2 linked regions of the Callithrix jacchus genome follow. The protein of the gene in region 1 interacts with the protein of each later gene in a biochemical or structural test. Links are inferred from orthologs where the notes say so. Each region holds a gene or a part of one and is shown in the gene's direction. Other genes may lie near its edges.

Region 1 (5,116 bases):
TTCGGTAGCTCCAGTCATTTTCAGAAGGACCTCTCGGCCCAATCCAGGCCTCTTTTTCTCTTGTCCTCCCTGGCCTGCTTCGTTCGTCTGTTTGTCCTGGGGTTAAATGCTACTTTGTGTGCTGCGGGAGGCTTACCTTGTGGCACTTCGGTGTAGAGTGTGACCGTCTGCAGCTCTACCTGCAGGGGGAGTGGCTGGAGCCTGCCGGTCCAGGCCGACTACCCAGTGACCAGAAGTGCTGAGAACCGAGTCCGTGGGAACTCCACGCAGCTCGTGGCTTTTGAGATTGAAAGAGCGTCAACAGAAGCCTGGCATGGTGGAAACACACATGCGTGGACCTGCTTATTTCCGGTGACGGGAGGTTAAGGATTCAGGAAGAGGGACCTGGGGGTAACAAGGAAAGGCCTCAGGTCATCGGAGAGAGACATTACCGGTGGGCCTCTCGGCGTGCTCCCGTGCTTCCCGGAGCTCACTGGGCAGCAGGCCTGGCCTCGTCTCCCTTCTAGGTACCACCCCTTGGGCCCGGCGCAGTTTCCAGGTTTCCCTCAATTTACCTCCAGAATCCCGCGCTGGGAGCAGAAGCCCGCGGGCTCTCAGGAAGACCAGGATTTCAAATCCGGAGCGGGGGCGCCGGGCAGGGCCTTGGGGGCGGGGTCTGGGCGGGGCCTCGGGACGCGACCGGAGCGTGAGGGCGAGGGCGGGGGCGCGGGAGCGGGGTCAGGGCAGGGCGCTTGGGGACCGGCGCTTGGGGGGCGGGGGCGGGGGCGGGGGCGGGAGCGGGGTCAGGGCGGGGCGCTTGGGGACGGGCGCTTGGGGGGCGGGGGAGGGGCGCGGCGCGGGAGCGGGGGCGGGGCGGGGCGCTTGGGGACCGGCGCTTGGGGGGCGGGAGCGGGGTCAGGGCGGGGCGCTTGGGGACGGGCGCTTGGGGACCGGCGCTTGGGGGGCGGGGGCGGGAGCGGGGTCAGGGCGGGGCGCTTGGGGACGGGCGCTTGGGGGGCGGGGGCGGGGCGCGGCGCAGGAGCGGGGCCGGGGCGGGGCGCCGCCAGCTGGCGGGCAGGCGAGGCGGGCTGGCGGGAGCTCGGGGACGCGCCCCAGAGGCGGGAGCTCGGGGACGCGCCCCAGAGGCGGGAGCTCGGGGACGCGCCCCAGAGGCGGGAGCTCGGGGACGCGCGGGGCCGAGAGGGGCGGGCCGGGGGCGGGGCTGTCACTGGGGCTCACGACTCCGGGCAGCGGGCTGCGGAAGCCGAGCGGACGCGGAGCCCGGCGGGTGGCTGTTTCTGTTTGGCGGCTGTGGAAGGTTTGAGGACGTGGTGCGGTGAGTGCCGCCCTCGCCCCGGGCCGTCAGTCCTGCGCCTGCCCCCTGCGTCCTCCCCCTGCGTCCTCCCGGGGACCCGCCCGGCTCGGCAGCTGTGCCGGGAGACTGAGATGGGCACGGTCTGGGTGGCGGAGCCTCTGTTTTGCCACCTCACCCGGGGCGGAGGCGAGCACTGAAGCCCGCGGTGCCGGAGACCTGGCCCGGGGCGGGGGAAGCCAGGCAGCGGGAGGCCGGGCCGGGGATCCGAGGCAGCGGGAGGCCGGGCCGGGGATCCGAGGCAGCGGGAAGCGGGGCCGGGGAACCGAGCCGGGGCCGGGGATGCCAGGCAGCGGGAGGAACCGAGCGCGGGGCCGGGAGGTCGGGCACGAGACACCGAGCTCTGAGCGCAGGAGGCCTAGCGATTGGGCCAGGAGCCGGAGGCCGGGCCAGGCGGCAGGAGAAGGGACAGCGCTACCGCCGGCGGAGGAGTGGCCCGGGAGGCGGCGCTACGAGGGCCGGGGCGGCCGGGTGCGGACTGAGCTACTGGCCCCCGGGGCTCATCCTCCCAGTTTTGGACGAGGGTTCGGTCTCTGCTGCCTTCCATGCCTGGGGCCTGGATTATCCCGGGTTGACTGTGGTTTAGCTCTTCCATGGAGGTAGCTGCGGGGTTGAAACTCCAATTCCTTTTCGGCCCTGCGGAGTTTCGTGAGTGCTCGCAGCTCATACCTGTCGCTGTGTATCCTTGGCCACAGTCGGGTGGTGTCGCCTTGAAATCCCAGGCCGCGAGGAGTTAGCGAGCCCTGCTCATCCTCGGCCTTCTGGGTTTCAATGGGGGTGCTCTGCACCTGCCTCTTTCCCCCATTCTCAGTAAGTGGCACCCAAGCAGGAAGGTAGAAAACATCCTTCTCAGCCCCCTCTCGCCCACCTACTTCTTTCCCACTTAGTCACCAAGCCTTGTCGACCTTGTGAATGCCTGCCAGATCTGTCCACATCTCTCCATTTCTGATTTCAGCCTGACCTCCTTTGCAGGCGGGTCTGGAAGTGGGGAGACCAGGGAAGAGACCTTTGCAGTCTATTTATTTCAGCACAGGCTGAGGGATCTTAGTGAATGAAAGTCTAGAAAGCTCGTGCTTTGCCCTTAAGTTAAACCCAGCAGTTAACATGGCTAACAAACCCCGGCACGTGTTGCGAGCACCCTCCCCGCCTTATCTTTAGCACCGGTTCACTTTCTGCGCAGCAGTGCTGATCTTCATACCCAGCTCTACCTGCGACGCCTCTGCATTCCCTTTCTCCCTCCATCACGTTTGCTCGGAAGTAAGAGCTCCTACTTGGATTTCTGTTTTCATTAGACAGTTCAGGGTTAAATCTTTCTGTAACGTGTTCTTTCTGCAGCCAGCCTTTCCTAGGAGAGATGTGTCATATCCTTTGCAGTTGCTTGTTTACTGTCTTCCCTGCTGCATTTGTAAGCAAACGCCGAGGGACAGACTTGGTTTATCTGGGTGTGCCTTAGTGTCTTTCCCCAAATGTGGGGCATGGCACAGCACCGTGAATGCCCATCCATTTGTGTTTTTACTATTATGCCCTATCTAGAGAAAGTAGACCGGGTTTAGGATTGTTTAGCAAATTATAATTAGAAAAGAAATGGTAGAGGCGACATATGGAGTCGTTGTAACAGTGTAACCCTGCAGGATAGCAGAAGGAGGGCCAGGCAGGGTGCTTAGACCACACTCTATCAAAATGGGCTCAGCCACTGTGAATGTGCATGCTGTGGTGACATGATCTCCGCAAATGAAACGTAAAGCCTAAATCATCTCTATCACAGCCCGATGCTTGAACTCTGGTTTTGCTTTGCCTTTTTGCAAAAGAAGGTTTTTGAAAGTGGAAATGTTTTTTAATGAATGGACGAACAGTTTATTGGAGTATGGCAGTAAAACCTGTTCAAAGAAACGGACATTAGTTAGACATTGTACCTAGGTAAATCAGATTTGCTTTGCTATCCTGAAAAAAGGCCTTGCCTCTTGCCATTTGAAGAGACTGGCATCTGATAGAGGCAATTATAATGCTGCTTTACTGTAGTGCTTTCAAACCTAGTTTAGCACAATCTCCCACTGCTTCATACCCCTACAAAGCAGTCTTTATTGGTGTGGATGATATATTACATTGCTTCTCGTGCCTACTACTGGATCTTTAAGCTCTACCCCAAAAACAGGAAACACTGGTGTTCGGGCCCAAAAAACGATGTGGGAATTCTTAGATTTATGTGATGCTCTTTCTCTGCATGTTGCGTTCTTGCCTTCACATGTTGCCTGTAGAGCTTCTTTGCATTACAATAATGAGATAGAGCTACCTGATATGTAATTGGACACCATCTGGCATCTGCCTTGTTCAGTCACCTTTGAATACCAGCGAGCATTGGTATAAGCGCTGCAGACAAATGGGGTTTGTCTCTTCCACTGCTTGATATGCTCAGGGTCTAGTATAGTACTCTGCACACAGCTGGTGTTCAGTAAATTGTTATGGTCCAAATATCAAATGAATGAATGCTACTGAATCTGACTTTTGGCAGTTTCTATCTTCCAGACAGCAGGATTTATTTCTTCAAGTGGTTTTAAACCTGAATCTGATTCTGCAGGCTAGTGGTTCTTGGTGGGAGTGTTGAGGCTTTAAAGTTATCTATAATTTTTATAAAAAGGCATCCGAGATCCTCCGTTTACACTTATAATCATACAGATTATTCAGATCTGCGAAGGCTTTGCCATTTTCTCCTTTTGGCCATCCAAAAGGACTTCATTTGACAAAGGGAAGACAGATCTTTTGCATATAGTAAGTGCCATTCTTTCTGTCTGGTATCATAGGCTTTTAATAGTGGGGAGTGCTCTATACTGCCTTCCTGGTCACTTGGCCCATGCCAGAGAAAAGGAAAGGATGGTTTATTTGTTTGTATAGTACAGTGGAACTTATTTAGATTTATTCTGTATTTGATTTTGCGTTCCCGTTCTCATATCTTTACCTTAACTACACAATAAATATTAAAAGATTGGCTGCACCAGGCCCAATGACAATAGCCAGTTTGATAATTCTTATATGTACCAAAATGAATTCAGAGACCAGATGGGAAAAGATTTTGATAAAACCTCTGGTACATTACAACTGAAGTCTTTTCATGTCCAAACTGTTGTGAAACAGATGTTCTTTGTTTCATTTGCTAAATCTGGGAATATGACTGCTTTTGAGACTGTCCTCTCTGACAGGTGATAAATATAAGCCCGATATTTTTCAAGTTGTTTGACAAAAGTGTAGTTTCCCCAGAAGTCCTACTGGACAGGCTTCACTTTTCTTGTGGGGAAAAACAAGAGTTACAGGAAATATGTCTTAATGACTTATACTGAAAGCTGAACATAAAAACAGTAATTTAACTTTTATTATTTTTAGAGGCTCAAGTGCGGTGGTGCAATCATAGCTCACTGCAGCCTCCAACTCCTATGCTCAAGCGATCCTCTTGCCTCAGCCTCCTGAGTAGCTCGGACTACAGGTGTATACCACAATGCCAATCTACTTGTTTTTACTTTTTTGTAGAGATGGGGTCTCTCTGTGTTGCCCAGACTGGTCTCAAACACATGACCTCAAGCAGTCGTCCCACCTTTGCCTCCTGAAGTGCTGGGATTACAGGTGTGAGCCACTGTGTCTGGCCTATTTCACTTTAGAAGTAAATTGAATGCCACATGCAAGGTTTGTTAAATTTAAAAAGAAGAAAGAAAGGAAAAATAGAAGTAAACTACCTAGTGGTATCAGAAATGCCATAATCATTTTTGCCATTTTTTT
Region 2 (5,273 bases), on another chromosome or scaffold:
TTTGTAGGGACATGGATGAATCTGGAAACCATCATTCTCAGCAAACTGACAGAAGAACAGAAAATCAAACACCACATGTTCTCACTCATAGGTGGGTGTTGAACAATGAGAACACATGGACACAGGGAGGGGAGCATCACACACTGGGGTCTGTTGCGGAGGACTAGGGGAGAGGCAGCGGGGGGTAGGGAGGTTGGGGAAAGATAACATAGGGAGAAATGCCAGATATAGGTGACAGGGGGATGGAGGCAGCAAACCACATTGCCATGTATATACCTATGCAGCAATCCTGCATGATCTGCACATGTACCCCAGAACCTAAGGTACAATTAAAAAAAAAAAAAAAAGAACAACTAAGTCTCTCCATGTGGTTTGATTCATGTGATTTGTTTCCACCTTTCTAGAATTCCACCAACACTGCTCTACCAGCACTTGTCCAGAGGCTGATTGGAGCCAGTCCATCATGCAGCCATGAATATTTACTGGGCACCCACTACATGTCAGGCTCTAGGAAATAGAATATGACAGTATCTAGAGCCCTCCATTTACACCCTGGCCATTTGAAAGCAGCACTATCATAGACACCACAGGACTCATAAGGGTCTTAGAAACTCACTTGAAACAAAGCAAGTCAGGAGAGGAATGATCAGCAGCAAACTAACACAGGAACAGAAAACAGAACACTGCGTGTTCTCACTCACAAGTAGGAGTTGAACAACGAGAACACATGGACACAGGCAGGGGAACATCACAGACTGGGGCCTGTCAGGGGTGTGGGACTAGGGGAGGGAAAGCATTAGAGTAGTTTGTTTAGCAAATGTTTACTGTAAGCCTATTATGTGCTGAGCTTGATATGTAAGAAGTGTGGCTCTCTGGACAGGAGACAGAACACTAAAAATGACAACTACTAATCTTTGGCTGCCTGGCATGCTTCCTCATTTCACATGATATCAGCAGTTTAGCATCCCAAACATCCTTTAGAGAAGCAGCCCTTTCTCATTCTTGGTTTGAGTGGTTTGAGTGGACTGATCCCAGCCTATCCAAAGTGGATTCAACTCCTAGGACCATAGCAATTTGTTAATTTAGGCCCAAAAAATGTCAAGTACAAGAGTTCTGTTGAAAGCATTCAGAAAAGAGGTGGCCTCTCACACTAAACATTTCTACCTAAATAGTGGATGTTAGAAATCCCTTAGAAAGGAAGCTGCAACAATAAATGGGTCTAGTAGTTGGTGGCCATGCTTTGTTACTGCCTTGTGTATTGCTCTACCATAGCCCTCCCCAAACTATACTCTATCTCCTCTTTCTAAGGGAAAGAGACACATCTCCAACATGTTTTGTTCTAGCACAAGAGAAGGGCTCAAACACATACTCACTAAAGAAACTATCCTGATGGATTGGCCATGAAAGCATTGGTGGTTCTGTCACTGGAAACTCAGGTTTCTAGTGCTCTAGTATCTCTACTGGCTGTTACCACATCCTACAGTCCACCTCATGAGCTTGGGTTCCTGCTCTAGGCTGAATAGGTGATCCACTCTGAGTCATCAGCTGTGGGTGCTGATGTGGTCACTGCACGATTCTCACACAAGCCCCCAGAGGACGTCATCAGGCAGAGGCAGTGGGGGTGGGCAGCATTCATAGAAAACCTTCTGTGATCAGGCACCGCAAAACCAAAGAGGAACATGAAGTCACTGAGTCCACTCCACCTCCTTCCTCTCCCAAGAGCTAAAAGAGAGCAAGGAGGAAACAACAGCAGCTCCAACCAGGGCAGACTTCCTGAGATGATGCAACCAATCCTGCTCCTGCTGGCCTTCCTCCTGCTGCCCAGGGCAGATGCAGGTGAGTGACCTGGGGGCCCAACCCCATCCCACAGGTCCCCTGCCCTTTCTTCACATTCCTGATCCATCTATCTACCAGGAATATTCTGAACTCCAGCTCCCATCCTACCGAGACCCCCCAAGAGTGATGCTGGATAAACTATCAGCAGGAATGGCAGAGCAAAACACTGTTCTCGAGAAGAGCCAGTGGGTGCTATCCCCTCCTCAGAGCCCACCTTTGTCACCTGGAGAGTGGTACTTTCCTAGAAGTAAATGGCAGAGGACGAAATATTAAATTATTCTAGAGTGGGCCTGGCTTCTGTTTCTGAGATAAGACAGGTGCTTCTCTCACTGTCTTCTTAGGAGAGAAACCCAGAGCTCAGCTGCCTACAGAATTGGTGCAGTCACTGTCCTCAAAGCACTGTTAATGCGTTTGCTCAGTCCCATTCTCCAATTCTGCTTTTCTTCTCTGGTCTTTAGTGGCTCCCTTCTTTCTGAAGATGAGGCACTGTGGCAGGCCCCAACTTCCCTGCTTTCTAGAATTCCACCAGCACTGCTCTACCAGCCCTCATCCAGAGGCTAACTGGAGCCAGTCCATCATGCAGCCAGGAACATTTATTGGGCACCCAGCACATGTCAGGCTCTAGGAAATAGGATGTGACAGTATCTAGAGCCCTCCACTTAACACTCTGGCCGTTAGAAAGCAGCACTATCCTAGACACCACAAGACTCCTAAGGGTCTTGGAAACTCACTTGAAACAAAGCAAAGTCAGGAGAGGAATGATCAGGAGCCTCTGGAATTTCACTGTCCCTAAGACAGGTATGCTCGCATTCAACTACATATGGAAGAAAGATTTCAGACCAAAGCCTGCTATTCTTCCCTTTTTCAGAGCAGGAAATTGAAGCCCCTTCCTCCAGGCCCCTCCCAACTCCAGGCTATCCCAGGCTCCCAACTGCCCAGGAGTTCTGGAACCATCAAGCAGGAACTCACCCAGCAGACTGCATGGGTGCACACAAGCAGACAGACTTTTCCTTCAGGGGAGATCATCGGGGGACATGAGGCCAAGCCCCACTCCCACCCCTACATGGCCTATCTTGCAATCTGGGATCAGGAGTCTCTGAAGAGGTGTGGTGGCTTCCTGGTACGAGAGGACTTCGTGCTGACAGCTGCTCACTGTTGGGGAAGGTGAGGAGCAGAAAACAGCCCCATGCCCTCCTGGAAACACTTCACAGAGACCCATGCCTTCTTCTCAAGGAGCCCCCTGGGCTCCTGGGAGCACATATACCAGGAAGGCTCCTTAGAGGGTGAGAAAAGGGCAGGTAAGCTTGTGAGGAGAGGGGAAGGTCAGTTCCAGAGGCACTGCTGAAGTAAGAAAGAGCAGAGTGACCAAGCCTGCCATATATAGAACTGGGGCATACTTTGGCATAAGAATGCAATCTGAAGTAATTTCACTTGTGTCTCTAGGGGGAACCAACCCCTGAGAAACCTGGTGCAATTACCAGAATTCCAATTCCTGGAGGCCAACTGTCCCCTCAATTTCCCCTCAGCTGCAGCCCTGCCCTGCCCCAGCTGTCACCTGCTCTTACTGCTCCTGGGTTGTATCCCCTATGACTCCACCCCCATCCCCACTCTGCTTTCTGTGCAGTTCTATAAATGTCACCCTGGGGGCCCACAATATCAAGAAACAGGAGAGGACCCAGCAGAGCATGCCTGTGAGAAGAACCTTCTGCCACCCAGATTATAATCCTGAGAACTTCTCCAGTGACATTATGCTACTGCAGGTGAGGCACACTCCTGCCACTCTTGCTCTTCTTGGTACAGTTGGTTCCACTCCCACTGTGACACCAGCCTTCCCCTCCTTTCCATCCTGGCCTCTTGGTCAATTCCTGTGCCTCAGAGGAGAGGGAAGACGGCACTGTCCCATCACTGTGTCAGGGCCCAGAAGTTCATTGGCTGACCTGGACTTTCTTGCCTCTTCCCCAACAGCTGGAGAGAAAGGCCAAGAGGACCACAGCTGTACAGCCCCTCAGGCTACCCAGCAGCAAAGCCCAGGTGAAGCCAGGGCAGGTGTGCAGTGTGGCCGGCTGGGGACGGACAACCCCCATGGGAACATATTCACACACACTACAGGCGGTAAACCTGACGGTGCAGGAAGATCGAAAGTGTGAATCCTGCTTACGCAATTATTACGACAGTACAGTTGAGTTGTGTGTGGGGGACCCAGAGATTAAAAAGGCTTCCTTTAAGGTAAGACTACGTATCTGCCTGGATTGGCTCTGGGGAGAAAGATGTTTGGGGAAGATCTGAGACCTGGAGACCCAAGCAGTGGGGAACTCCTTCACCCACTAGACAGTGATCTTTCTCTCTGGAAAAAGAAAAGGGGAACAGACAGAGCTGGGGAGAAATTAGGGCCTCTGCAAACTTACCAGGAGGCTTATGGTGGTTGGTGCTCCTTTGGAAGGATGAATTTGCAACACCCCACCCACCACAGGTCACAGATATTAGGAAACTATGATCACTGGGGGTGCAATAATTACAATCAGGTATGTCTTCAGAGGCTGATACCCAACGTGGTTAATCAGCTGGTACTCCATGCTGGGTATCAGCCCTCCTTGCCTGCTTCAGCCAATTGTCCCACATACCTGGGATCTAGGGGAGATGACAGAGGCTGGCCCCTGGGATAAGGTGAAGCAATAACAATGTCCAGGGCCAGAATTTGGCACCTGGAGACCACCAGGAGCCTGCCCTGCCCTCTGGTCTCCCATGTACAGGCTGTGCAAGTTGGCCTTCACTAAGAGGGGGCTTGAGATGGCAGAAAGGGCAGGACCAAGAGAAGCATCAGCTCAATCCTTCCACTCTCTATTCACAGGGGGACTCCGGAGGCCCCCTTGTGTGTAACAAGGTGGCCCAGGGCATTGTCTCTCATGGACCACGCAATGGCAAGTCTCCACGGGCCTTCACCAAAGTCTCAAGCTTTGTACACTGGATAAAGAAAACCATGAGGCCGGGGACGATGGCTTACACCTGTAATCCCAGGACTTTGGGAGGCCGAGGCAGGTGGATCACGAGGTCAAGAGTTTGAGTCCAGCCTGGCTAAGATGTTGAAACTCCACCTCAGTTAAAAATACAAAAATTTGCCAGGCATGGTGGCATATACCTGTAATCCCAGCTATTCAGGAGGCTGAGGCAGAAGAACCACTTGAATCCAGGAGGCAGAGGTTGCAGTGAGCCAAGATCATGCCACTGTACTCCAGCCTGGGTGACAGAGCAAGACTCCATGTAAAAAAAAAAAAAAAAAAAAAAAAAAACGAAAGGAAAAGAAAACCAGGAAATGCCACTAACTACAGGAAGCAAACTAAGCTCCCTTTGTGATGAACCACCTTCTCTGGAGCTGAGTCCAGATTTATACTGGGAGAGGTGCCAGCAACTGAATAAATACCTCCAAGCTGAGTGGAAAG

Evidence for each region.
Region 2: of the proteins of CASP3 (region 1) and GZMB, one has a biochemical effect on the other in vitro, tested with the Homo sapiens proteins (2 studies listed by BioGRID). The link is inferred for Callithrix jacchus from reciprocal best matches to the Homo sapiens genes CASP3 and GZMB.

The regions. Positions count from the first base shown.
Region 1 is NC_133504.1:6,739,948-6,745,063, forward strand, and holds the start of CASP3 (caspase-3), read left to right. Parts: upstream 1-1,568; 5' UTR 1,569-1,633; coding exon 1,634-1,822; intron 1,823-2,509; coding exon 2,510-2,608; intron 2,609-5,116. UniProt on the Homo sapiens protein: Thiol protease that acts as a major effector caspase involved in the execution phase of apoptosis. Following cleavage and activation by initiator caspases (CASP8, CASP9 and/or CASP10), mediates execution of apoptosis by catalyzing cleavage of many proteins.
Region 2 is NC_133509.1:58,856,974-58,862,246, reverse strand, and holds GZMB (granzyme B precursor), read left to right. Parts: upstream 1-1,745; 5' UTR 1,746-1,781; coding exon 1,782-1,836; exon of another isoform or gene 1,837-2,656; coding exon of another isoform or gene 2,657-2,852; coding exon 2,853-3,000; intron 3,001-3,460; coding exon 3,461-3,596; intron 3,597-3,801; coding exon 3,802-4,062; intron 4,063-4,684; coding exon 4,685-4,897; 3' UTR 4,898-5,156; downstream 5,157-5,273. UniProt on the Homo sapiens protein: Abundant protease in the cytosolic granules of cytotoxic T-cells and NK-cells which activates caspase-independent pyroptosis when delivered into the target cell through the immunological synapse. It cleaves after Asp.